Linked DNA regions of Diceros bicornis minor. The protein of the gene in region 2 interacts with the protein of the main gene of each other region in a biochemical or structural test. Links are inferred from orthologs where the notes say so. Each region holds a gene or a part of one and is shown on either strand. Other genes may lie near its edges. The genes, in order: COPS4 and COPS7A.

Region 1 (12,973 bases), on a different chromosome or scaffold from region 2:
AGTTCTTAGCAGATTAGACGCACTTGAAGAACAGATAAACTATAAAGCAGGTTAGAAGAACCTATCCGGAATAAAGCATTGAAATGGGTAAGTACAGAAGACAGGGTAAGAGACACAGAGGTCACAGGAAGGGGGCCTAAAGAGGGTTTCACTGGAGTCCCAGGGGAGAAAATAGAACAGGCGGGACAGAGGCAACATTTAAAGAGATATAGCTGAAAACTTCTCAGGACAATGAGAAGCCAATTCATTAATTCAAGAAACGCTTTCCAGGACAATGAAAGGATCCAATTCATTAATTTAAAAAACACAAGGAAGCTCAACCAGGATAACACAGTAGAGCATTTACAAAGAGGCCACATTCTTTCACCCACTGTATCTATGCCCCTTTGCAATGAGACTTTACAGCTCTTCACATCAAGAGGTAGAGTTTATTTCCCCACTCTGTGATCTGGGGGTTGGTTTTTTTTTTTTTTTGGCGAGGAAGATTAGCCCTGAGCTAACATCTGTTGCCAATCCTCCTCTTTTTTGCTGAGGAAGATTGGCCCTGGACTAACATCCGTGCCCATCTTCCTCTACTTTATACGTGGGATGCCTGCCACAGCATGGCTTGATAAGTGGTGCATAGGTCCATGCCCAGGATCCGAACCTGTAAACCCCAGGCCACCAAAGTGGAGCACACAAACTTAACCACTACGCCACCGGCCGGCCCCAATCTAGGCTTGTTTTGACCAACAGAATGCAGTAGAAGTGAAGTGCCTGTTCCGAATCTAGACCTCAAGAGGCCCTGTATGCATTTTATCCCTTGGAACCCTGCTTTTGCCACATGAACAAGCCCAGGCTAACCTACTAGATAATGAAATATGCAGCCCAGTCACCTCTACTGCCCCAGCCGACACAGAAGCAGAGCTGACACGTGGAAGCCCGTGTGGAACAAAGACCATGCGGAGAGGAGAAGAACCATCCAGCTGGGCCCAGCCCAGACTGCCAACCAACAGAACTGTAAGCTAAATAAATGATTGCTGTTTTAAGCCACTAAGTTTTGGGGTGGTTTATTTCACAGCAAAAGCTAACCGACATAGAAAAGTAAAAAATTCACATAGATACATGATAACGAAGCTGCAGAAAATTAAAGACAAAATCTTAAAAACAGGTAGCTGCTAATATAGTTTTTAGGAGAAAGAAATAATTTACTAATGAGGTCGATCTTGAAGCATTCTAAATACTTCAACTCAGTGTGAAGTGGCAAAGACTAGGGAAAGGCAGGCACTCTAAGCAAAAAATCACTATCTGAAATGTAGTCCAGTTTGGTGAAAAAGGCCAAAAGGTCGATTAGAGTTAAGGGCTATGAGCCAAGCTGACAGGCTGTATTCTGTCTCTGCCACTAGCTATGTGACCTTGGAGCAAGGTATTTCACCTCTATACCTCAGTTTTTTCATATATAACGTAAACAATATTACTTGTTAAGGATTAAAAAATGTAGGTAAAGTTGTGCTTGGCGCACAGTGAACACTAGATGTTAGGGAACTTCACTCTTGAGATGAAAACCCCTAAAACTGTTGTGTGTGGGAATAACAACAGAGAACCAGAGAATCTGAGTTAGAAGGGGCCTATGAAGTTATACAGTATATCCTCCGTTGGTTGGTTGGTTGTGTGTGTGTGTGTGTATCCTCTATTTTTTGACAGTTCTACTCCACTCTATTATTACAAAGTTCTAATCCAAAGTCTACGTCTATAAGGCAGAGTAGTCTATTTTCTTGTCTGAAAAACAGCTTTTCTAATAGTCAAAGGCAGCTAAAAGGTCTCCCATTACTTTCCTTTCTCCAGGCTAACAGCTTCCTGTAAAATGAAACGTTTATACTCCAAAGGCCCACTATGCTCCTCTGGGGATCCTCCATACCCCAGAACCGGGAAAAAAAGAAAAGAAAAAAAAGGTCCTATTTCTGTAGGATTAACTCAACAAAGACCTATAATCCATGACCTCATACCTGCCCTCAAAGAGATCACATTCTAGTTGGAGAAGCAGACAAGTAAAGAAAACAGTTGAGCGCTATAGTAGAGGGAAATATAGGATGCCAGTAGGCACAGGAAGAGCAACCACCCAGGTCCCGTGTGGGGTGAGCACGAGTGTGTACTGGTGGTTGTTCCGAGAAGGCTTTTTGGAAGAAATAACATCTGAACTGAGTTTCGAAGAACCAAGTAGGTTTTAGCTAATTCAATAAGACAGGCTATCACAACAGCTATCTATCTACTCAAATGCTCCCTCTCAAGACTCTCCTCTTCTAAAGCGTTATATGAGATGATGAACACAATGCATAATAGGTACAAAAGCAGTTTATAAAATCTGCAAATATGCTTCTCATATGGCCAATTTCTTATTTCGATTTTAGACTGTTGTGTTAATTCATAGTTATAGGAAAGCATTTCTAATTGAAGTTTTGGCAACAGCAGCAGTATAGGCTGGTAAGGTTAAAAATGAGCTTTTTAGAGTAGACAAACCTGTGTTCAAATATAAGCTCTGCACATTTCTAGCTATTCATTGATTTAACCAACATTTGTTGAATAACTACTCTGTTATAGATATCCTGCTAACTGCAGGGAACACAGAGTATCAATATTTTAGAAAAGAATTTTCTCCATGATTCCTTAATATAGAATCCTGTTACTCAGCTCCTAACATAAACCCTAAAACTACTGATATATTTCAAGAGTGTTTCTCTCATAAAGCACTAGCTGGCAGAACTGTTTTGTTACGAAAAGAAATACCCTGACACATTCTTGCCCAGATAGGACCAGGCAAGGCCAAGACTTTTCTCACAAAACACTGGCTATCAGTTATCAAGCACATTATTTCATTTAACATTCTCAATAACCCCATGGAGTAGATTGTGACAGTAACGGACTCCAATGAATCATGCCTCCCTCTGACCACGCCCTTCTGCAACATAACTTGGCCACTGCTCCCATAGAGGTAGACTCCATTTCCCCTCCCCTTGAATCTGGGCTGGGCTTGTGACTTACTTTGACCAGTATCAGGGAACTGATGTTGCAAGACTTCCAAGGCTGGCCTTAACAGACCTTCAGCTCTCACTCTTACCCTCCAGGAACACTCCTATGGCCCTGTAAGGAAGCCTCAGCTAAACTACTGAATGACAGACCACGTGGAGAGAGTGTGAGACCCAGCCAACAGCCGGATGTGCATCTGCGTCTATTTTACCCTACCAGCCCCAGCTGAGCTGCCAGCTGACTGCACCTGCATGAGGGAGGCCAGACTAGACCAGCAAAAGAGCCCAAAGAATCCTGAGAAATAACAGTTGTTTTACACTAAGTTTTTGGTTTGTTACACAACAATAAATAACTGAAGCACTCTATAAGATAGGTACTACTGTTTATCTGCAATTCAGAGTTGAAGTAAATGCTTAGCTTAAGTTTCAGAATTCTGCAAATACTTGAAAAACTATATCTCTTCTGATAACTAACGCACTTATTTTTCTTCAACAAACAAAAAAGCAAGCAAGCATGCGGGAAAATATAAGCTAGTTTTACTTTCATCCATTCTATAAAAATTACATGCAAAGAAGATTAAGCCATGAAGACATATTCAACTTATTTCCAACCCATGGAATAAGTCAATATATATTTACTAGCTGGGTAATAATAACAACAATTTTGTGACACTTTCTAAGTGTTGGGTACTGTTCTAAGTGATATAACACAAGTGTATACGCACACACATACTCATTTCGTTCTCAGACAAGAATAAGTCCTATAATTATCCCCATTTTCCTGAGGGAGAAATTGCAGCACAAAATAGTTAAGCCTAAGATACACAGCTAAATTTCCCACTGATAAAAGTAGATTACATTCACCACCACAGAAAAGGCAGCACAGCCTACATAAAGCACAGTCAAGGTTCCAACAGCCCGGTTAGAGCAGGTGTATCCCATCAATACAGATCAAAGTGATCTCAGCTGTCAGGATGTAAATATTAGGATCAATTTGAGAAGCATACTTTAAACAGAATGCACGTTCATTACAAAAGAACAGTATAGTGAAATCTACAAAGAAAAAACGGACAATACCTATGATTAACACTGCTGAATAACTGCTTGCAGGAGAGGGACATGTCACAAATTTTAACTTGGAGTGGACCTAAGCCTTCTACACAAATTCCGACAAAATTCCTAAACAATCCAGATTCCTGCAAACATTACTACTCTAGACATCCTGACCCACGTTATGAAGACATTCTGCCTATGTGCCCTTTTTCAGAGCTGGTGGCGGAGAGAGAGTACCCAAAACAATGACCCACAGAAGACGGTCCGAGGGGTTCTGGACATGATAGCGGCCATACCTCCTCAGCCCCCACCAGCCTCAAAAAGCCATCTCCCCGCAAAACTCTGCATCAAGGCCCAGAATATAAATTTCCCTCAATCAAAAAGGAAAAAAAAAAAGTCCAAAGAGAGGCGAGAATTCGGTGTGAGAGGCCAGAGAGCGATGGGAAGAGGCACCAGAGAAGGCTGAGAAGGCCGTGGGAGCAGTCGTCCCTCAGACCGCGCTTCCAGAATTTTACGAGACCGGTAAGGATGCTCTCAAGGACTGAACGAGCTGACAGTCACCCTAGGTCTAGGGCCCCGAGGGATCCCTGCACAAGGTCCCCTTCAGCCTTCTGCTGATCCCAACATTTGCCTCCATAACCGACCTCAGGCCCGCCCCCTTGGTCGTCAGGCCAGCGCCTAGCCTCACATGCGAAAGCCGCCATCAACCCCAGGAGAACAAGTCTGTGGTTTCCCTCCCCACCTCCCATGCCCCTGAGAAGTACTCACTTGCCCGCCAGATCTTTATGAGAGCCGCTCGAATTCATGAGCTGGGCCAAATCCTGTCGCACGGCTGCCGCCATCTTTCCTCCAGCTCAGCCGAGGTTGCAGGGCCTCCCACTGCCAGAAAGAAAACGAGTGTAGTCCTCCAGAGTGCAGCCAGAGGGAACTCGAGATGCCACAGAGTAGCGTTTCTGTGGGCCAGAGCGCCGCGGTGGGAGCCTGCGCTGGGTCCGCCCCCAGGGTTGAGTGACGCGAAGCTCCACTCCTCGAGTCCGAGGCCCAAGCAGGTCTCTCCCACAGGCTGGGGCTCTCACGCTCCCACTTCGGATTGGAGGATGAACTTCAAGGGAGTGTGTCGCTTGTGCAACTCCGGTAAGTGTCGGGTATGCAAAACTATCGCGTTTTCATTAAGTTCCGTGTGTCACGTCTATAGTTTACCGATCCTCGTTCTTTAAGGCAGTCCTTAAACTACCTGTGGTAAAGAAGGAGCTGTTTTTTTTCCAATTCACCAAAGACCGACACTTTTGTAAAATACGGTAAAAAATGACCCCATTCCCCCTCCCACTCTGTACCTTTTGTATAAGTTGATCATATATCCCAGTTTGTCCAGGACAGTGGCATTTTCCATCTGTTGTCCTGGGGTAATTATTAATAACACGCCCTTCCACTCTAGAAACACTTTGATTTGGATGAAAAAGTATATGGTCACCCTACGTTTATATGTAATTATGTTCATTATTCATATATCCGTATAGAATTTCTTTCTGCAAATATAAGCAAATAAAAGTACATTTTTATCCTTTCTTGCTTTCACAAAAGATAGCACACCATATCATTAGTCTGCCCTTGATTTTTTCACTTTTCCTAAGATCTTACCATAAGTCTGCAAAGCTTCCTCATTCTTTTTTAGAACTGGAGAGTATTACATAATGAGGGGATGCGTAGCTTATTTAATCCTTAAACTAGACACTTAAATAGTTTTTAGTCAATGCTACAATGAATAACCTTGTACATCCATCATTTTATATGTGTACAGGTAGAATACATTCCAAGAAGAGAGTCAAAGGGTAGATGTGCTTACAATTTTGATAGATACTGCCAAATTGCACTTTATAGGGATGGTACTTTTTTGCCTTCCTACCAGCGATATGTAGGAGTGCAATTTTCTACAGCCTTGCCTACAAAGAACGTCAAACGTTCTAATTTTACCAGCTTGATATGTCATAATTAGCATGTTCCCTCTATTGAGAAGAGGAAAGAAGCCCAGAATAAGGAAGTCCTTTTAAGAAAGTAATGTGGAGTGCCCACATCAATTCAGATCTCACTCTATTGGCAAGAGCTTAGTCACATGACCATGGCTAGCAACAGTGAGACTGGAAATTTAGTTTCCAGTTGGCAGTCTTGTGCCCAGGAAAAAGGAAAGGATGGTTTTAGAGGAACAGTCAACACTCTCTACTACAATCTGTCCCTCTGACCACCTAAATATCTGTGTTTCCTTCTTACAGTAGAACGCTCGCACCCTCTAAGAAAGAGAATTCAGTTTCCCATTTAGTTTCTATATTAGCTCAAATTCCAGGATGTCTGATAAGGCACAATCCTCTCCATCAGGTTAGGATATGGTTTTTTATGGTGCAGAGACATATACACTACAAAACAAATTATCTGCTCCATACCCATACGTGTAATACAAAACAAGAGTGGAGCAGGAGTAGGATAACCCCAGGTAAAACTCAGAAAAAATAAAAATGGGAAACATACAGCAGTTACTGGTCTATAGCAATGGTGGAATCCTGGGCAGGAATTATGAATACTCACTATCCTCGTAGTGGAGTAAGTTCCTTGGTTAGACCCTAGTTCTGCTCTCTGAGAGGATCTCCATTGTCCGTTGTATTTTGTGGGCCCAAGCTTTGCCCTCTGCATACAAGTTAACTGGATGTTGAAGAGTATTCCCTCTTTGGGGAAATGCCTCAGGACTTGAGCAATTGAGGGCTTTTGTAGGCCAGGTTTTTCAATATATATATAATTTCATTGAGTATTCAGTAACCTCTGCTGCTTCCAGACAGTTTCTGGTGCCAGTAACCACACCCAAAGTTCTTTCTAGTAGTTATTAAACTTGCCCTATTTTCCGGCTTCCATACTCAGTCCATTCTTAACATCCTCCTTTTAGTGATGGAAGCTTTGAAATCATCTAAAACAATAGGTTTAAATGAGAAGAGAACTCTATTCATTTGATTTTTGCTTCAGCTTATCTTTGTTTTCTGTTTATGTGCATTTGCCAAAAAGTCTTAATGGGCTATGAGAATTCTCTAAGCTAAGTCTTTTCTTCTGCTATTTAGGGGTAATAAACAGTTGGCTTTTTCAACTTAGTGAAGCCCCAGAATTTCTGGAACATTCTATTCCCTTTTTACCCTGACTTCAAACTTTACTTGTAATACCTTGCTGAAAGCAAAAAAGAAGCAGCCACACACACAAACTGGCTCTTTCTAAATATCTCCACTAGAGCTACAAGCTAGGAAGGGAGGTTGTCTGCCATCCTAGTTATTGTAGGCCGCAATTTTACTGAATTTTTTGACATGACAAGGCCTCCCCTTTCCAGACTGCTCATTACTCCTGCCCAACTTCGAAGAGACTACTACATATTTTTAGGTTTTACTTATAGCAGTGTGAACATTAATAAACAAAAACCTCATTAAAATGGAGTTGGGAGGCCACAAGGGGAAGCTCTCATGCCTTACCCAGATAGCAGAACCCAAAAGAAGAAGAAAGACTGCCTCTTCTTTTTTTTTTGTGAGAAAGATCAGCCCTGAGCTAACATCCGTGCTAATCCTCCTCTTTTTTTGCTGAGGAAGACCGGCTCTGAGCTAACATCCATTGCCAATCCTCCTCCTTTTTTTTTCCCCCAAAGCCCCCCACTAGATAGTTGTATGTCATAGTTGCACATCCTTCTAGTTGCTGTATGTGGGCCACGGCCTCAGCATGGCCGGAGAAGCAGTGCGTCGGTGCGCGCCTGGGATCCGAACCCGGGCCGCCAGTAGTGGAGCGCGCACACTTAACCACTAAGCCACGGGGCCAGCCCAGACTGCCTCTTCTTGACTAGCCAGAAGCTCAGCAATGAGAGTCCGTCAAAACTCAGCCAGTGAAGACCCACTACACCTCAAACTCTTTGTTTACAATAGCTTTCCCAACTTCCCCTTCCCCTCTATAAAAGAGTTTCTCCTCCCTTGCTGGTGGGGACTTGCACGTGGCTTGCCATGGTTGCAGACTTCAAATTGCAATTGTTTGCTGATCCCAAATAAACCCATTTTTGCTGGAGAAATAACTAGCTATCTATTTGTTTAAGGCCAACATTTTGGTGGCCCCTATGGAGATCCAGAGAAGACCCCCAACGACTCTGAGGCTGGTGAGCAAACTGGTGCAGTACACACAACAGAGCCCATGGAGCTCGATGATTTTCTCGCTGACCCTGGGGTTTGAGGGTAAGTCTTTTCTCCTGGATACGAGCTTCCTCCCTCTTTGCATTTGAGGCTCTCCAGGCTTTATTTGAGATTTTAAGGCTTCGTCCTTTTCTAGTTAAGGCCTTGTTTGTCTGCGAGTACTCGGGGGGCACTTCTCCCTGACTCTGAATCAGGCTGTTCCTTAGAACTGTGCTAACCTTTTGGAACTGGACTGTTCCCATACTTGAAACTGTGCTAGCCTTCAGCCCAACTTTCAGACTGTTTCACTGGGACTGTGCTGTCCAGCCTGCAGCCTGACTCCCTTGGGAGCAGACTGTCCCCTGGAACTGTTGATCAACCTTGGCTCTGATTCCCTTGGGAACTGGACTGTTCATTGGAAGTGAGTTGTTCTCGACCTTCCATCCGCCATAATGAAACTGGACTGTTCTACAGGGACTGGCTGGTATTAAGCCTGCAGGCTGTTGGAGCTGTTCAGGCCCTTTGAGTTACAAGCTGTTTGAGCTATTTAGGCTGTTTGAGAATTATCACTTTGCTCTAGAGGAAAACCTCTAAGAAATAGGATCTCAGTCATCTGATATTTTGAGGGCATCCACCCCTACAGGGACCCCAGCTGATTTTCTGTTTAGAAACCGCAGTCATTCCTCATGCACATTTCTAACTAAATGGGCCAATTTAACCAAAAGTAATTTAGGACACCAATGGCCATTGTGGGAGACTTTTGAACTCCCCAGACTTACTTTTCTTAAAACTAAATTGGACAGCCATAGCTCTGTAATTTCCAAAACTGAATGGAATGTTTATTTCGATTGGTATTTTGAGGCTTCCAAATGTTGTTAGGGGTCTAAAATTGCCTCTTTACAAAATAAAATTTTCAGATTAACTGAGGCGAACAAACGATTAAAGAAAGGTAAAATGGCTTTCAACGCCTCATGTTCCTCTTCCCTGGCTTCTATGTCTCGGGCCCTGCCTCCAGCGCCATCATGTTTCTCCCCCCGCTCCTCCTACTCAGGCCCCACTTCCAATGGCATCTTCCTCCTTCCCTTCTGTACCGTCTATGCCTTCTCCATACCGTCAGTTCCCCCATACTAACTCTCTTGCCAAACTTCCCCTTTTCCCTGAATCTCTCTCCACTCCCTCATTCTCTGAACCTGTACGAACCTGTCCCTTTAAAATTAAGCTTTTTGAGGATCCAAAGGCTAAACCCTTAATTTCTTTTTTTTTTTCCCCCAAAGCCCCAGTAGATAGTTGTATGTCATAGCTGCACATCCTTCTAGTTGCTGTATGTGGGACGCAGCCTCAGCATGGCCGGAGAAGTGTTGCGTCGGTGCGCGCCCAGTATCCGAACCCAGGCTGCCAGCAGCGGAGCGTACACACTTAACCGCTAAGCCACGGGGCCAGCCCTAAACCCTTAATTTCTTATACTCCCTGGGCTAAGGCTGAACTGTGAAGCATTTTCACAAAGTAACTAAAGATCCTCGCAGATTTGTTAAGGTATTTAATATAGTCATTCAAACTTATTGACCTGGTTTCTCTGACTTGTATCAGCTAGTTCATATGCTTGTCGGTGAAGGCCAGTCCCAGCTTTGGATGAAAACCACTAATTGGGAAAATCTTGACAGGTCTCTAGAATTACAACCAGGAAACCAACCCCACTGACCTGTTGAATGATGAGGCTCAGGCAATTGCTAGATGACTTCATCTGGCAATTCCTAGGGCTTTCCCTGTTGATTGGAACAAAATTCAGGCTTGTGCATAAAAACTCGATCAACCTGTTCATGACTATTATAATCGACTTCAGATTGTTTTTTTTAAAGAAAATTCTGGTCATCTTTCAGATGTTGATTCCCCCTGGGTAGCTTTTAACTGTATGTTTATTAGTGGACTAACTGGGACCTTTCCCTTCTAGTAAAATGACCAGGATGAAATGGGAAACCATCCATTCCAGGTTTAGTTAATCTGACAAACCAGCTCTCTCACACTCCAGATGAGTCACCTAAAACAAAGACTGCTAAAATTCCAATCTTCAACTCCAGCAAATGAAGGCCCTTAACGAAACCAAAAACCCCCTACTTTCTACTATTATTGCAAAGAGCTAGAACATTGGAAAAGTGATTGTTACTAATTTAAACACTTCAGGCGCCTTCAGGCCTCTAACCAGCCTTTCCAATGTCCTCCAAGTCCTCAATTATGTGACTCCAAGGAACTAAAGAGGCTCTTCCTAATCCTCCCTCTTAATTGGCTTGGAGAAGCATTTCTCCAGATTGGGGATGAATCTCTTTCTGTCCTAATTGACACTGGAGCCATACTCTTGCGCTCAAACCACTACTATAACGCAGCCCTGCCTTGGAGTACTAAGACAGTTCAAGTAGTGGGAATTTCTAATAAACCTCAAAAAGTTTCTGTCTCTGAACCTGTTCCCTTTTGTTTAGGTCCTTTGAGAGACACACACCCTTTTCTCCCTAGTTCCTCCACCCCTATTCACTTATTAGGCTGAGACATCTTGGAAAAGCATCATGCCAGACTTTCTTTCTCTCAAAAAGGGGAAATAATTCTAGAATTTGACAGTAGTTATTAAAACAGTTGTGCAGGTGAATTAAATGACCCTTTGTCATGTTTTATTTGCTCCTTCCTCTGATGGTACTGGAGCTAATTCTGGAAACTGTCTGTTTGTCTCTATTGAATCAGTTACCATCCTCCTTATGGGCAAAATCTCCAACTGACATTAGTAAAATTCACAGCGCACCTCCCATCAAGATTCAAATAGATCCCCCAAAACCTCTCTCCAGACTTAATCAATACCCTGTAAGGACAGAAGCCTCTCAAGGTATAAAGTCCATAGTAAAGGGTTACAAGGCTCAAGGCCTCACTATCCCTTCACTAGTCCCTGTAACTCTCCCGTTTTACCTGTGAGAAAACCCAAGGGCCAAGGGGGGAGCTTTGTCTGGGACCTTCGAACAATAAACAACGTTGTTATCCCTAGACATGCTGTTGTTCTTAACCCTCATATGCTACTAACAGCCGTTCCCACTGGAAGCAAATTCTTTACAGTAATTAATGTATGTAGTACATTCTTTATCACTCCGGTTGATGAAGCTAGCCAACATCTTTCTGCCTTCACTTGGGAAGGAAAACAATTCACCTGGACAGTAATGCCTCAGGGTTTTACTGAGAGCCCTTCTTATTTCTCACAAATCTTGAAGGCTGATCTGGATGATATAAAGTTCCCTAGGGGTTCTACTTTTTTGCAATATGTGAATGATTTGCTTCTTTGCTCTCCCTCCAAAGTCTTCTCAGAGGAAGACAGCATCCACTTGCTAAAGCTTTTAGCCTTAAAGGGATATAAGGTCACCAAGGAGAAATTGCAGTTTACCCAAACCCAGGTTTGATATTTAGGGCATCTTATATCAGAAGAAAGGCTACACCTAGATCCAGATAAGCTTCATGGTGTCCTAAGTTTCCCCAAACCCAAAACTAAGCACCAACTGCAAGGTTTTCTCGGGCTAGTGGATTATTGCCAAAATTGGATTCGAAATTTCTCTCTGTATGTTTGACTAAAGAACAACAACTCTGACCCAATTTTATGGGAAGAACCAGACGACATAGCCTTAAGGGCCTTAAGGGAGAGTTTAATGAACCCACCTGCCCTTGGACCTCTCAATTGTCAGATTTTCTTTTTCCTTTTTGTATATGAAAAGGAAGGGAATGTCCTTGGGGTACTCAGCCAATAACCTGGGGACAACCATCGAACCACAGGGTATTATAGCCAGCAACTGGACCCTGTGGCATGGGGATACCCCCCTTGCCTTAAGCGTTTTTGGCTTAAAGCCACTGAGAAAATCGTTGTGGGATCCCCTTGAGCCATTTTTGTACTTCCTGCAGTGGAAGCCCTCCTGAATGCTCATCAGACTCAACATTTTTCAGTCAGCCACCTCACCTCCTGTGAAATCCTATTGTTAACTGCTCCTCACATAACTCTTACATTGTGGTAACCTTAACCCCGCTACTCCTCTCCCCCCCATTACAGACACAGTACCTCACGGCTGCTTAATGCTGACAGATCACCTCCTGACTCCTCACGAAGATCTGCAGGAAGCCCCGCTGGGTAACGCTGACTTCTCATGGTTTACTGATGGTTCTGATTTAAAGAGTGACAAAGGCAAATACTTCACCTGGTATGCTATTGCAACTCCTTTTGATATTGTTGAGGCAACACCTTTACCTATGGCTAGTTTGACAAACAGGCTGAATTATATCTTCTTACACGGGCTTGTACTTTAACCAAGGGCAGAACTGCCAATATTTACCCTGATAGTAGATACGCTTCTAGAGTAGCTCATGATTTCAGAATGTTGTGGAAGCAACGTGGCTTCCTTACTTCTAGTGGAAATAAAATTAAAAATGGCCCCTGTGTTCAGGAATTATTGGAGGCTATACTTTTACCTGCCACTTAAGCTATTATTAAGATCCCGGGGCATTCTAAACTTGACTCTCTGGAAGCTAAAGGAAATCACCTTGCTGATATTTCTGCAAGGAATGCAGCCCTGAAAGGAACCAACAGCAGTCAAGCCTCTGTCATGGTCCAAAGGGATATTTCTCCAAATGATAACTTAGAAAAACTGACTAGAGAAGCCCAACAACTGGCCTCAGAAAAGGAAAAACAAGATTGGAAATTAAACAATTGTTTTATAAAAAGAGAAAGCT
Region 2 (12,513 bases):
AGCAGTTCTTGCCACACTGGCTCACCCCTTGCCCTTTGAGGCTTTCTTGCTGGGCTGGCGCTGGTTGGTGCCAGGAGCTGGTTCCCTCAGTTCAGTCAGGTGTTGCTCAGGGTCCTGAGATGTGGCTGCAGCGGCTGCTGCTGTTGTAACTTTAATGGTTTTTTTAAGGTTGGCGACCTACCAAGATGAAAAGAATAGGGGATAATGAAGAAGGTTCCAGAACCTGACAGTCCCTGCCTACCTTGTCTGTCTGCTACAGCCACTGTCCAACTGGACAATGGGCCCAGGATGGAGGAACGTGGGTCCGTCCTGCTCCCCTGCCTGCTCACCTCACTCTCGATCTGCTGCTTCAGGCCCAGCTGCTGTTCCTTGTGCTGGTTGGCACGGCTCACCTGCTCCTCAATGCCTGACAGCACAACCTCACAGCCCACACACCTGAGGGAATTGGGAGAGAGAAGTGTCAGCAGAAGTTTCACAGACTCAGGAAAAACAGACTCGGAAAGAACCCTAGATCCTGGCATCCAAACCCTTGTCTGAGTTAGGAACCCTCACCAGGGCACCTGGAAACCATCTGCAACAACATTCTCAGGAGCTGGAAGGACACCCAGGTAAGATGAAAGAGGTATAAGGAAGTGCCTGGAGTGATGTGCAAGATGGGGGTAGGAACTGAAACCAAAATGGGACAGGAGATGCTAAAGAGAAAAAAAAGGTGTATTAATGAACTAAAGTTAGACAAAAACACAAAGAGAAGCACAGAAGTGTAAGAGGCCCACGGCCTATGACAGCGCTGGTTACAGACCGATGGGTTGAATCCAGCCTAAGACAGGTGACCAATCTCCCAGTGAGGATCTTCTTAAGAGTACCATTCCCCTTTCCCTCCCCCAATCTCTATACCAAGGATACGGTCTCCTGCCTCTTGCCCCCCAGGCCCTCCTCCACTCCTTTCTCTTCATCCTCTTGGATTCCACCTCTGCAGCACAGCCCAGCCATCCCCCATCCAAAGCGCCTCTCCCTTTCTTGGGGTGAGAAGAGACAATGCCAGGACACAGGTCTCACCACTCTTGCAGGGTTCGGGCAATGGCACTCAGGTCCTGGCGCTGGATGTCCCGCCCAATGCTGTAGTCAACCTCCAGCCGCTGATTGCGCTGGTCCAGGGAGCCACGAAGCACATCGGCATATACAGCCTCAATGACAAGATCTTCCAGCTGCCGCACGTTACGCAGGGCAAGGGCCTCCAGCAACACTGCATATGGGATACACTGGGGCCCGGGGAGGTCGGGCTGGGATTTCTGAGGTTCCATGGCAGAGAAGGGCTTCCAAGATTCTTCTTCCCTCCTTTTCCCCCCTGCCTAGGCTTACCTGCCTGCCCTCCACTCCTACTCCTAAATAATTTTCTCTAAAAGGCTGGTTCTAAGGCAAAATAAATAAAAGTATTCCCACCTGAAAAATAAGGACATGAGAAGGACAATCTTAAATAAAATATAAGATTATGCTCCCCTACCATGCTTACCTCCCACACCACAGAGGAATAAAGTGACATTTGCCTGAGTGTCAACCCTCTGGCCACAGCTCAGGATAGCACACAGACCTTGGTCAAGACCAGCTTGACATAATGTGTGGCTGACCAAGGTTCCACACCTTGACATAAGCTTTGGCAGAGGTTTTGAGTTACTCTGTTGACCATTTATACTTCGCTTCCTTCCAAAGAGGCATCTCGCAATAAGGAGCCTGACTTAAATCACGACAATGACGGGAGAGTCAAGTAACAATTGGGAGAGCGCAGATGGGTGGGAGGGGGAGAGTTAACAAAAAACTGAACCTAACAGGAAATACGGAGATACTTCTGCGTTATGTTTTTTTTTTTTTTTTTTGAGGAAGATCAGCCCTGTGCTAACATCTGCCAATCCTCCTCTTTTTTTTTGCCGAGGAAGACTGGCCCTGGGCTAACCTCCATGCCCACCTTCCTCCACTTTACATGGGATGCTGCCACAGCATGGCTTGCCAAGTGGTGCGTCGGTGCGTGCCTGGGATCTGAACTGGTGAACCACAGGCCACCGCAGCGGAGCACGCACACTTAACTGCTTGCGCCACCGGGCCGGCCCCTGGGTTATGCATTTCTTATTCTAGCAAATAGAAGCCTAGCACTTCAACGAGGAGAGAGACCCTCGTTCCCATGGGACTTTATATAGTGGGGAGGAGGGTGATTGTTGAACAACACAGAGAACAGCATCCTAGTCGTCATTTTGACACAAAGCACAAAAGATGTTTTACTTAGAACTTAAGTTGACTGAAAAATAAAAACAAAACAGAAAACTAAGAGAATACTACTCAGCCTAAAAGGCTGCAGGTAATGAAGTTTAGATACAGACCTTAGAGGGATGTGGGGGGAAGGCAGGAAGAAGCAACAGTATGGTCAAAGGCTGTCTGAGTGCAAATTCCCTTCAGATGGGCCCTTACGAAGGGACATACCGAAGAGTGCTCTTTGGCTCAGGCCTGGGGGGGACTGTCACTCACCTTGACTTTGGCAGCCAGGGTGACGACTGATAGGTGTCGAAGTTTATTCTTCTGAGCCTCTGTGAGTGGGGGAAGATTCCGGGCTTCAGCTGGGAAAAAAGGACAAAGTGTAGGAAATCCTGACTTCACTTTTGTGGGAAGCCCTAGCCTTCTTCCTTTGCATTTCTTTGTGTGTGTTCTCCATGCCAATTCAGGTCTTGACCATGACCCTGCGTACCTAAGGAACCTAAGTAAGGTATGCCAGGAATTTCTTCTAAGTCCCTCCAGAAATTGCCCTTCTCCCACCTCCATGACTCCGGAGCTCCAGCCCCTCTGGTTACCTAAGTAGTCAGCATATGTCCCATAAGCAAACACCGTGAGCAGCCGGAATGTGGACGCGAAGTCACTCTCAGCCAGCTGCAAGAACATAAGCAGGGAGAAGAGGTGACAGGAAGGGCCTCTCTCTCCAACCTCCCAGCCTTACCCTGGTTTGAACTCCACTTTCTGGCCCCATCTTTCCCCTCCAACATTAGCTCTCCCAGCTCACCAAAAGGAACTCTCTGCCTCTCTGATCACTTTCCCAAATTCCCATAGAATTTCCCAATTCTGCCTCACTTCCCCCTTCAGGCCTTTGCTTACACTATTCCCCCAATCCACAACGCCTTGTTCCTCCACAGGCCTCCAATTCCTACCCTAAATTCAGAGGTGAAAACGTTCAGAGTGTTCAGTGTCTCACACACACACACACACACACACACACATTATAAACGGCGTTGTTTGGTCCTTAGAGTGTGTTTAATATTTCTGCATTTGAATATCTTTAGGCAGTCTGCTGTACTCCCCAATTCACCAAAGACGCCTCCCTCAGCCTCTCTCATCTCTGATAGCTGCATGGCCTAGGCAGGCACTGGAATTTGTGGCCTCTGTTTCAGACCTGCCTCACCCAGAAGGCTTTCATCACCCAGGCCAGCCCACCCAGATCTCCTCTCTTCCTATCACTAATCACTCATTCTGGCACTTAATCAATCAAACCCTGCCTAAGGTTGTTACCCAAGAATATGTTTCTTTTCAACAAGATTACAGACCCAGCCTCTGGTATCCCACTTAGGTCTAGCAGAGCTATGCACGTAGTCAGCTCTCTAAACAAATACTTGCTGGTGTCATACATCTTGGTGACCCACACACTCTGGACTTTAAACTCTTAACTCTGCTACTTCTGTGTGAACAGTTCTCTCTGCTGTGTTTCTAGCCACGTGTCTTTGAGGAAAAGAAACCTCCTAACTTATCTAACTTAAGTGAATTAGCTATCATGCAAAAGGGGGAGAAGAGGGCATGCCAATTTCATGTTTGTTCCTTCCATTTGTCCCAGACTTTACACTTTTCCATAATCTCAACTGATTCCTACAGTAACAGTGAAGGGCAGTATCAGCTCCCTTTTTAAAAGAGAAAACTGAGGCCCTAAAATAAAAGTGACTCGATCAATGTTACACTGGCGGAGACAAGCTGAAATCAGGTCTCCTATTCTGAATCACATGCTCTTTTGCTTAAAAATGAAAATACTGGGGTTTACAGATCATTCATCCCCAAAGGGAAAGTAGGAGGTTTACTTGCATACTTACTTTTGCAAGCTGCCAGTTAATCATCAACGCATTCTTGTTCAACTGAATGGTTATGGGGTTGCAAAACGTGCCCTGCCCACTCATCCTCAAATCCAAACTTTAGCCCAAGTTTCCCTGTGGGCTATTCAGGCCAGGAACCCACCTCTCTAACATTAGGCATATCCAGCAGTTCCCCAAACACGTAGACACCAGGGGCCTCCAGCACCTGGTGGATGAGTGTGGCCAGCGCTGCCCCCTTGGCCGACTTGGCCAGGAGCAGAAACTGCTCCTGGTTCTGCCCTGTCACCTTCACCTCGGCACTCATGGCTGCACTGAGCTGGGGGACCTGGGCTCAGGATGTCTGGAGCTGCAAGGAAAGAGGATGTGAAGCTGGAAGTCCCTCAACACTGGGAGGTGGGGAAGTACAAGGGCTAGGGACTGGTCTGCAGAGGCACTGAGTGTCTGCAGTGAGGAATCAGAGATGGAGCTGTCTAAAACTCGGATCTAGGAATCCTAAAATTGGCCACTTTGATGGAAGTCTGGCTGAGACAGGATGGCCACGCCCACCCTCTCCCATCCCTGGGCCTAATCTCAAGCCCCACCACGTGCACCCCCTTGAACCCTAAGGCAAGGATGCAGTGGGGAAGGAGTGTCACATGATGTCCACCCCAACGACGACGCTCCCTCAAATCGCCACTGGTGCCCCGAATGTACCCCCAGCCACGTGATGTCACCCTCACAGTCCTTCCACGTGGCTCCGCCCCCTCCCTTAAAGAAGCCGCCAGGGACCGTGGGCTCCCGCAGCCTGCCCCGTCCTACCCCGGGTCAGACTCTGCGGGCCGCTACCTGGAAGCTTCGTCTTCCAGTGCACCGGGCGGGGCCGCCGCTCCGTCACCTCCGGCAGCTGCTCCGAGCCCTTCCTGAGACCTCTCTGCAGGGGCACTCTGGCCACTACACTCTATGGCTGACTTCCGGCCGTACTTCCGCTCTTATGAGGCCGGTTTCGAGCGCAACATGCCCCGCCCCCTCCTTCCGACTGCTGAAGCTCCTGTGAGTGACACAAGCATTCTACTTGCTGATTGGCTGTTGAGGAAAGAAGGACGGGTGCCTTTTTTTCTGCTTTGTTTTAATAAAACTTTATTGTTGGACGAGCGCTAAGACGCTAAATGCAGAGGGAACTCGTGGTCTCAGTCCGGTACCTGGTGGTTCTGTGGCAGCTCTAAGCTGCCTGATATCTGGAGATCCAGGCTGCACGGGTGCCTGAGGCGAGAGGAAAGCTATAATGGAGAGAGAGGGAGAAGAAGAAAAAAGGTGGGGGGATGAAGAGGAGAGAGGAAGAGGACAAAAATCAATAATAGAAGTTTAGCACCAGAGATCACCTGGGTAGTTCAACCACTCATTTTTTTGAGGAACAAGAGAAAAGAAGTGGAAAAGGTAAAGCAAATAATAATATCTAATATGTATTGAGTGCATACTATTGGTTAGGCATCTTTTAAAATTTTATCTTATTGAATCCTCATAACTATACTGTGCCCCCAGTGTGACTCCAGGACACTGTCTATCGTGATTACATGTACTTGTAGAGTGATGCTTTCCTGTATATTGACTCTTAATTCCTCGAGGAGGAAAAAACCCTAGGTGGAAGGAAGGCATATGTTATTATTCTCATTTCACAGATGAGGAAATTGAGGCTCATAAAAATTCAGAGATTTGCCTAGAACCCAGGTCTTTTCAAAGCCAAAGCATCTTCCCATTTTACCACTGTATTTTAGGAAAAAATAAACAGCTAACATTTCTACACTTTTATCTTTCATACCAGGCTTGCAGAGGGTCAAATGAGAATAAAGTTAATGACTTCTTGGAGGCCTTTGTGTTAAGCACTGAGCTAAGAGCTTTACTTAATTCATTTGATGGTTATAATAATCTATTATTATTTCCATTTTCCAAATGGAAAAATTGAGGCCCAGGGAAGTTAAGTAATTTATAAGTAATGGAAAGAGAGAAAGTGGGAAAAGAGAACATAAATGAAGAGAAAATCACAGGACTGGTAGACTGCTGGAGCTGAAGGGACTTGAAGCTCAAAGTTTATGGTCCACATGGCTTGGTTTATGATAGAAAATGAGAAGCAGAAACTGGGAAAGGAGAGAGAGAAGGAGAAGAAGAAAAAGAAGGAGGAAGAAGTGGCAGAGGAGGAGAAAGAGAAGAAGAAATGAATGGAAGAGATTACACATAAAAGTGAGAAGAGGGGCCCGCTCCGTGGCGTGGTGGTTGAGTTTGCACACTCTGGTTTGCCGGCCTGGGGTTCACAGGTTCAGGCCCCAGGCGCAGACCCACGTACTACTTATCAAGCCATGCTGTGGCAGGTGTCCCACATATAAAGTAGAGGATGATGGGCACGGATGTTAGCTCAGGGCCAATCTTCCTCAGGCAAAAAGAGGAGGATCGGCAATAGATGTTAGCTCAGGGCTAATCTTCGTCACCAAAAAAAAAAAAAAGTGAGGAGAAGAGATCAAAGGCATAAGAAAATATCCAAAGTTTGGAGGAACCAAAGAATTAATGAATCCAGTCTTATCAATTTAAAGAGGGAAGGAAAAAGAAAAATATGAAGAAAGAATGAGAAAAGAGCCAACATATGTTCTATTATGTGCCAGGTCTTTATTTGTTCAACTTTTTTTTTAAGACTTTATTTTTTAGAGCAGTTTTAGGTTTACAATAAAATCGAGAGGAAGGTACAGAGATTTCCCATATACTCCTTGCTCCCATACACGCATAACGTCCCCCATTATCAATATCACTTACCAGAATGGTACATTTTTTATCAAGGATGCACCTATACTGACACATCGTAATCACCCAAAGTCTGTAGTTTACCTAAGGGTGGGTTTGGACACCCGTATAATGACATATATCCATCATTATAATATCGCACAGGGGCCGGCCCCCTGGTGTAGTGGTTAAGTGCACACGATCCGCTGCTGGCGGCCTGGGTTCAGATCCCCAGTGTGCACTGATGCACCGCTTGTCAGACCATGCTGTGCGTCCCATATAAAGTAGAGGAAGATGGGCATGGATATTATCCCAGGGCCAGTCTTCCTCAGCAAAAAGAGGAAGATTGGCATGGATGTTAGCTCAGAGCTAATCTTCCTCACAAATAATAATAATAATAATATCATACAAAGTATTTTCACTGCCCTAAAAATTCTCTGTGCTCTGCCTATTTATCTTTCCTCACCCCCCACCCCTGGCAACTACTGATCTTTTTATTGTCTCCATAGTTTTGCCTTTTCCAGAATGTCATAGAGTGGGAATCATACAATATGTAGCCTTCTCAGATTGGCTTCTTTCAACTTAAGGTTCCTCCATGTCTTTTCACGGCTTGATAGCTCATTTCTTTTTAGTGCCAAATAGTATTCCATTGTCTGGATGTACCACAGTTTATTTATCCATTCAGCTATTGAAGGACATCTTTCTTCCAAGTTTTGGCAATTATGAATAAAGCTGCTATAAACATCCATGTGCAGGTTTTTGTGTGGACATGTTTTCCACCTCTTTAGGTAAATACAAAGGAGCATGATTGCTGGATCATATGGTAAGAGTATGTTTAGTTTTGTAAGAAACCACCAAACTGTCTTCCAAAGTGGCTGTGCCATTTTGCATTCCCACCAGCAATGCATGAGAGTTTGTATTGCTCCACATCCTGGTCAGCTTTTGGTGTTGTCAGTATTCTAGATTTTGGCCATTCTAATACGTGTGTAGTGGTATCTCATTGTTGTTTTAATTTGCATTTCCCTGATGACATATGATGTGGAGCATCTTTTCATATGCTTACTTGACATCTGTATATCTTCTTTGGTGAAGTATCTAAGGTCTTTGACTCATTTTTTTTTTCCTTAGATCAATGTGTCATGGAATGACCCATTTTTTAATTGGGTTGTTTGTTTTCTTATTTGTTGAGTTTTAAGAGTTCTTTGTATATTTTGGATAACAGTCCTTTATCAGATGTGTCTTTTGCAAATATTTTCTTCAGTCTGTGGCTTGTCTTCTAATTCTCTTGATATTGTCTATTGCAGAGCAGAAGTTTTTAATTTTAATTAAGTCAAGCTTATCAATTATTTCTTTCATGGATTGTGTCTTTGGTGTTGTATCTAAAAAAGCATCACTATTCTCAAGGTCATCTAGGTTTTCTCCTATGTGATCTTCTAGGAGTTTTATAATTTTGCATTTTACATTGAGGTCTGTGATCCATCTTGAGTTAATTTTTATGAAGTATGTAAAGTTTGTGTCTAGATTCTTTTTTTTTTTTTTTTTGTGAGGAAGATCAGCCCTGAGCTAACATCCATGCCAATCCTCCTCTTTTTGCTGAGGAAGACCGGCCCTGAGCTAACATCTATTGCCAATCCTCCTCCTTTTTTTTTTCCCCCCCAAAGCCCCAGTACATAGTTGTATGTCATAGTTGCACATCCTTCTAGTTGCTGTATGTAGGACGCGGCCTCAGCATGGCCGGAGAAGCGGTGTGTCGGTGCGCGCCCGGGATCTGAACCCGGGCCGCCAGCAGCGGAGTGCGCGCACTTAACCCCCAAGCCACGGGGCGGCCCTAGATTCATTTTTTTGCATGTAAATGTCCAGGTGTTGTAGCACCCTTTGTTGAAGAGGCTATTTTTGATCTATTGTATTGCCTTTGCTCTTTTGTCAAAGAATAGTGGACTGTATTTATGGGGGTTTATTTCTGGGCTCTCTATTCTGTTCCATTGATCTGTTTGTCTATGCTCTTGCCAATACCACACTGTCTTGATTACGATAGCTTTATAGTAAGTCTTGAAGTCAGGTAGTGTCAGTCTTCCACCTTTGTTATTCTCCTTCAATATTGTGTTGGCTATTCTGGGTCTTTTGCCTCTTAATATAAATTTTAGAATCACTTTGTTGATATCCATAAAATAACTTGCTGGGATTGGGATTGAGATTGCATTAAATCTATAGGTCAAGTTGGGATAAACTGATATCTTGACAATATTGAGTCTTCCCACCCATGAATATGGATTATCTCTCCATTTATTTAGTTCTTTGATTTTGTTCATCAGAGTTTTGTAGTTTTCCTCATAAAAATTATATATATAGTTAGATGTACACCTAAGTATTTCTCTTTTTGGGGTACTAATGTAAATGGTATTCTGTTTTTAATTTCAAATTCCACTTGTTCATTGTTGGTATATAGGAAAGCAATTGACTTTTGTATATTAACCTTGTATCCTACAACTTTGCTTTAACTGCTTATTAGTTCCAGGAGTTTTTTTGTCAATTCTTTTGGATTTTCTACATAAATGATTATGTCATCTGTGAGCAAAGACCGTTTATGTCTTCCTTCCCAATCTGTATACTTTCTATTTACTTTTTTTGCCTTATTGTATTAGTACAATGTTGAAGAGAAGTGGTGAGAGGGGACATCCTTGCCTTGTACGTGATCTTAGTGAGAAAGCTTCGAGTTTCTCACCATTAAGTATGATGTAAGTTGTAGGGGTTTTTTGTTGTTATTGTTCAACTTTTTATTCAGTCTTTACAGCAACCATTTGAGGTGCCTATTAATATCTCAGTTAACCTGTAAGGACACTGAGGATCACAGAAGTTACATAAATTTTGAAGGCTTCCAGTATAAGTGGTGGAACTGAGATTCAAATGCAAGTTTGTCTGATTCCAACACTGTGCTAAGAAAGAAAATAAAAAGCAGAAAGGAAAGACAGAAGAGAAGAGGGAGAAAAAGATAGCCTGAGATTTAGTCCTGATTCAGCCTTAAACTAGCTGTGACCTTAAATTGTGCCATCTCTTGGTATCTCATCTTCCATATCTGCAAAGTGAGCAATTAGGCCACAAAATCTGTAAGGCCAGTTCTGATTCTGATGGTTTGTTTTTCTTTTTTTGGTGAGGAAAATCAGCCCTGAGCTAACATCTGATGCCAATCCTTCTCTTTTTTCTGAGGAAGACTGGCCCTGGGCTAACATCCATGCCCATCTTCCTCTACTTTATATGGGACGCCGCCATAGCATGGCTTGCCAAGCGGTGAGTTGGTGCGCACCCGGGATCCGAACCTGAGAACCCTGGGCTGCCAAAGTGGAGCGCGCGCACTTAACCACTGCGCCACTGGGCCGGCCCCTGATTCTGATGTTTTATGGTTCTCTAAGACAAAGAGGAGTAAGAGGAGAAAATGAAAGAACAATTAATAAGTAGACAAGTAGAACTTAGAGAAAGAAAGGAGAGGGGATGGACTAAAGGAGTGAGATTAGAAAGAGCAGAGAGAGAAGAGGAGGAGGAGGGGATATGAGAAAGAAAAAAAGGGATTAGAAATGAGGAAAGAAGAGGGGAAGTGGCAAGAAAAATAAAGATCTCCAAGGGGAGGATGGGAGCTAATTAAACTCAAGCAAAGGCTAGGCTGTAACATTCATTCATTCGTTTGTTACTAAGTAACAGTTATGTACAAGGCCTTATGCCAGGTGCTGTGTTTTTAATGCCAAGGATAGAACACAATATACACTGAAATAAAGTGGAGAAGCTGACTGACATTCAAGGAGTCAGACACATAATAAAATATTCATCATTGATTCAAAAGGCATATATTGAGCACCTCTTATTGCCAGCCATTGTTCTAGTTACTAGGGATATACACAAAATACCTGCCTTCTTGGTATTTACATTCTTGTGGTGAGACTCAGGCAAAAAACAAATAAATACATATATACATACATAAATAGTCAGGAGGTAATAAATATTATGAAGAAAAACAAAACAGGGAGAGGGGGATGGGGAACGCAGGAGACATTTGCTACTTGATACAGGGTAGTAAGGAAAGGCCTTTCTGATATGGTGGCAATGGAGCAGAGACTTTAAAAAAAAAAAAAAAAAAAGAGCAAGTCATGGATTTCTGTGGGGACAATGCTCCAAGCAGAGCAAACTACAAGTGCAAAGGCTCTGAAATGAGAACATACATACTTGATGTGTTTGAGGAACAGCAGGGGGGCCTGTGTGCAATTATCCAGGCAAGAGATGGTGGTGGCTTAGACGAAGGTGGTAGCAGTGGAGGTGAGAAGTAGTTGGATGCTGAATTTAATTTAAAGCCAAAGTGAACAGAATTTGCAAATGGATTAGATGTGAGATATGAAAGGAAAAGAAAGAGTTAAGAACAACATCATACAGGCAAGTTGCACCAAACTTACAAAGTGCAGATCCTTTTAACCTTATATGTAAACTTTTCCAGAAAATAGGAAAAGCAAGAACACTCCTCAACTCATTCAACAGGGCCAGAATTACTTTGATAATGAGACCAGATGAGGGCAATACTAGAAAGAAAAATTACAGGCCAATCTCACTTATTAACAGATACACAAAAGTCTTCAATAAAACACTAGCAAAACTGAACTCAGCAATGTGCAAAAAAGATAATACACCAAGACTAACTTGAATTTATGTCAGGAATTTAAGGGTAGCTTAATATTAGAAAATATATTCATTTTATTCATTATGTTAATAGATTAAAGGAATTAATCACACAATTACCTCAATAAATACAGGAAAAATGTGATGAAATAAACATCCATTTGTGATAAGAAAAATCTTTTAGAAAACTAGAAGGAAACTTATTAATCTGATAAAGAAATGCCTGGTATCACCAATTCTGTTCAGTCTTGTAATGGGGATCCTAGCCAGAGCAGTAAGACAAGAAAAAAAAAAAAGGTAAAAGGATTTGATTAAAAAAGAAACAGGCCAGCCCCGCGGCCCACTGGTTAAGTTCAGTGCACTCTGCTTTGGCGGCCCGGGTTCAGTTCCTGGGCATGGACCTACACCACTCGTTGGCGACCATGCTGTGGTGGCAACCATGCTGTGGTGGCGACTCACATACTAAAAAAAACAGAGGAAGATTGGCACAGATATTAGCTCAGGGCAAATCTTCCTCAAGCAAAAAGAGGAAGATTGGCAACAGACGTTAGCCTCCGGTGAATCTTCCTCAGTAAAAAAAAAGAAAAAGAAACAAAGCTGTTACCATTTATAGAAAATGTGAAAATGTGATAGCACATGTATAAAATTCAAAAGACTATACAAATAAATTATTGAATAAGAGTTTAACAAGTTTGCTTGACAAAAAACATACAAAATCAATTATATATCTATATATGAACAACAATTAGATGATGAATAATTTTAAAAGTTACCACTTGCAATAGTATGAAAAATATCAAACATCAAAGTATAAATGGAACAAAATATGTCTAAGAACTATATATGCAGCAAATTGTAATTTATTGTGAGACACTGAAGAATAGCTAACATAAATGGAAAGATATTATCACATTCATAAATTAGAAGTCTCAACATCATGAGGAAGTCAACTCTCTCTAAATGATTTATAGATTCAGGACAATCCTAATCAAAATCCCAA

What was found.
Region 1: the proteins of COPS7A (region 2) and COPS4 form a complex in vitro, tested with the Homo sapiens proteins (2 studies listed by BioGRID). The link is inferred for Diceros bicornis minor from reciprocal best matches to the Homo sapiens genes COPS7A and COPS4.

The regions. Positions count from the first base shown.
Region 1 is NC_080747.1:67,676,222-67,689,194, reverse strand, and holds the start of COPS4 (COP9 signalosome complex subunit 4), read right to left. Parts: upstream 4,993-12,973; 5' UTR 4,898-4,992; coding exon 4,824-4,897; intron 1-4,823. Other genes in the region: LIN54 (protein lin-54 homolog), read left to right, coding at 8,179-8,293. UniProt on the Homo sapiens protein: Component of the COP9 signalosome complex (CSN), a complex involved in various cellular and developmental processes.
Region 2 is NC_080756.1:55,003,193-55,015,705, forward strand, and holds the start of COPS7A (COP9 signalosome complex subunit 7a), read right to left. Parts: upstream 5,045-12,513; 5' UTR 4,938-5,044; exon of another isoform or gene 4,826-4,937; intron 4,459-4,825; 5' UTR 4,417-4,458; coding exon 4,255-4,416; intron 4,232-4,254; exon of another isoform or gene 4,197-4,231; coding exon of another isoform or gene 4,113-4,196; intron 2,911-4,112; coding exon 2,835-2,910; intron 2,604-2,834; coding exon 2,515-2,603; intron 1,260-2,514; coding exon 1,057-1,259; intron 436-1,056; coding exon 330-435; intron 178-329; coding exon 26-177; intron 1-25.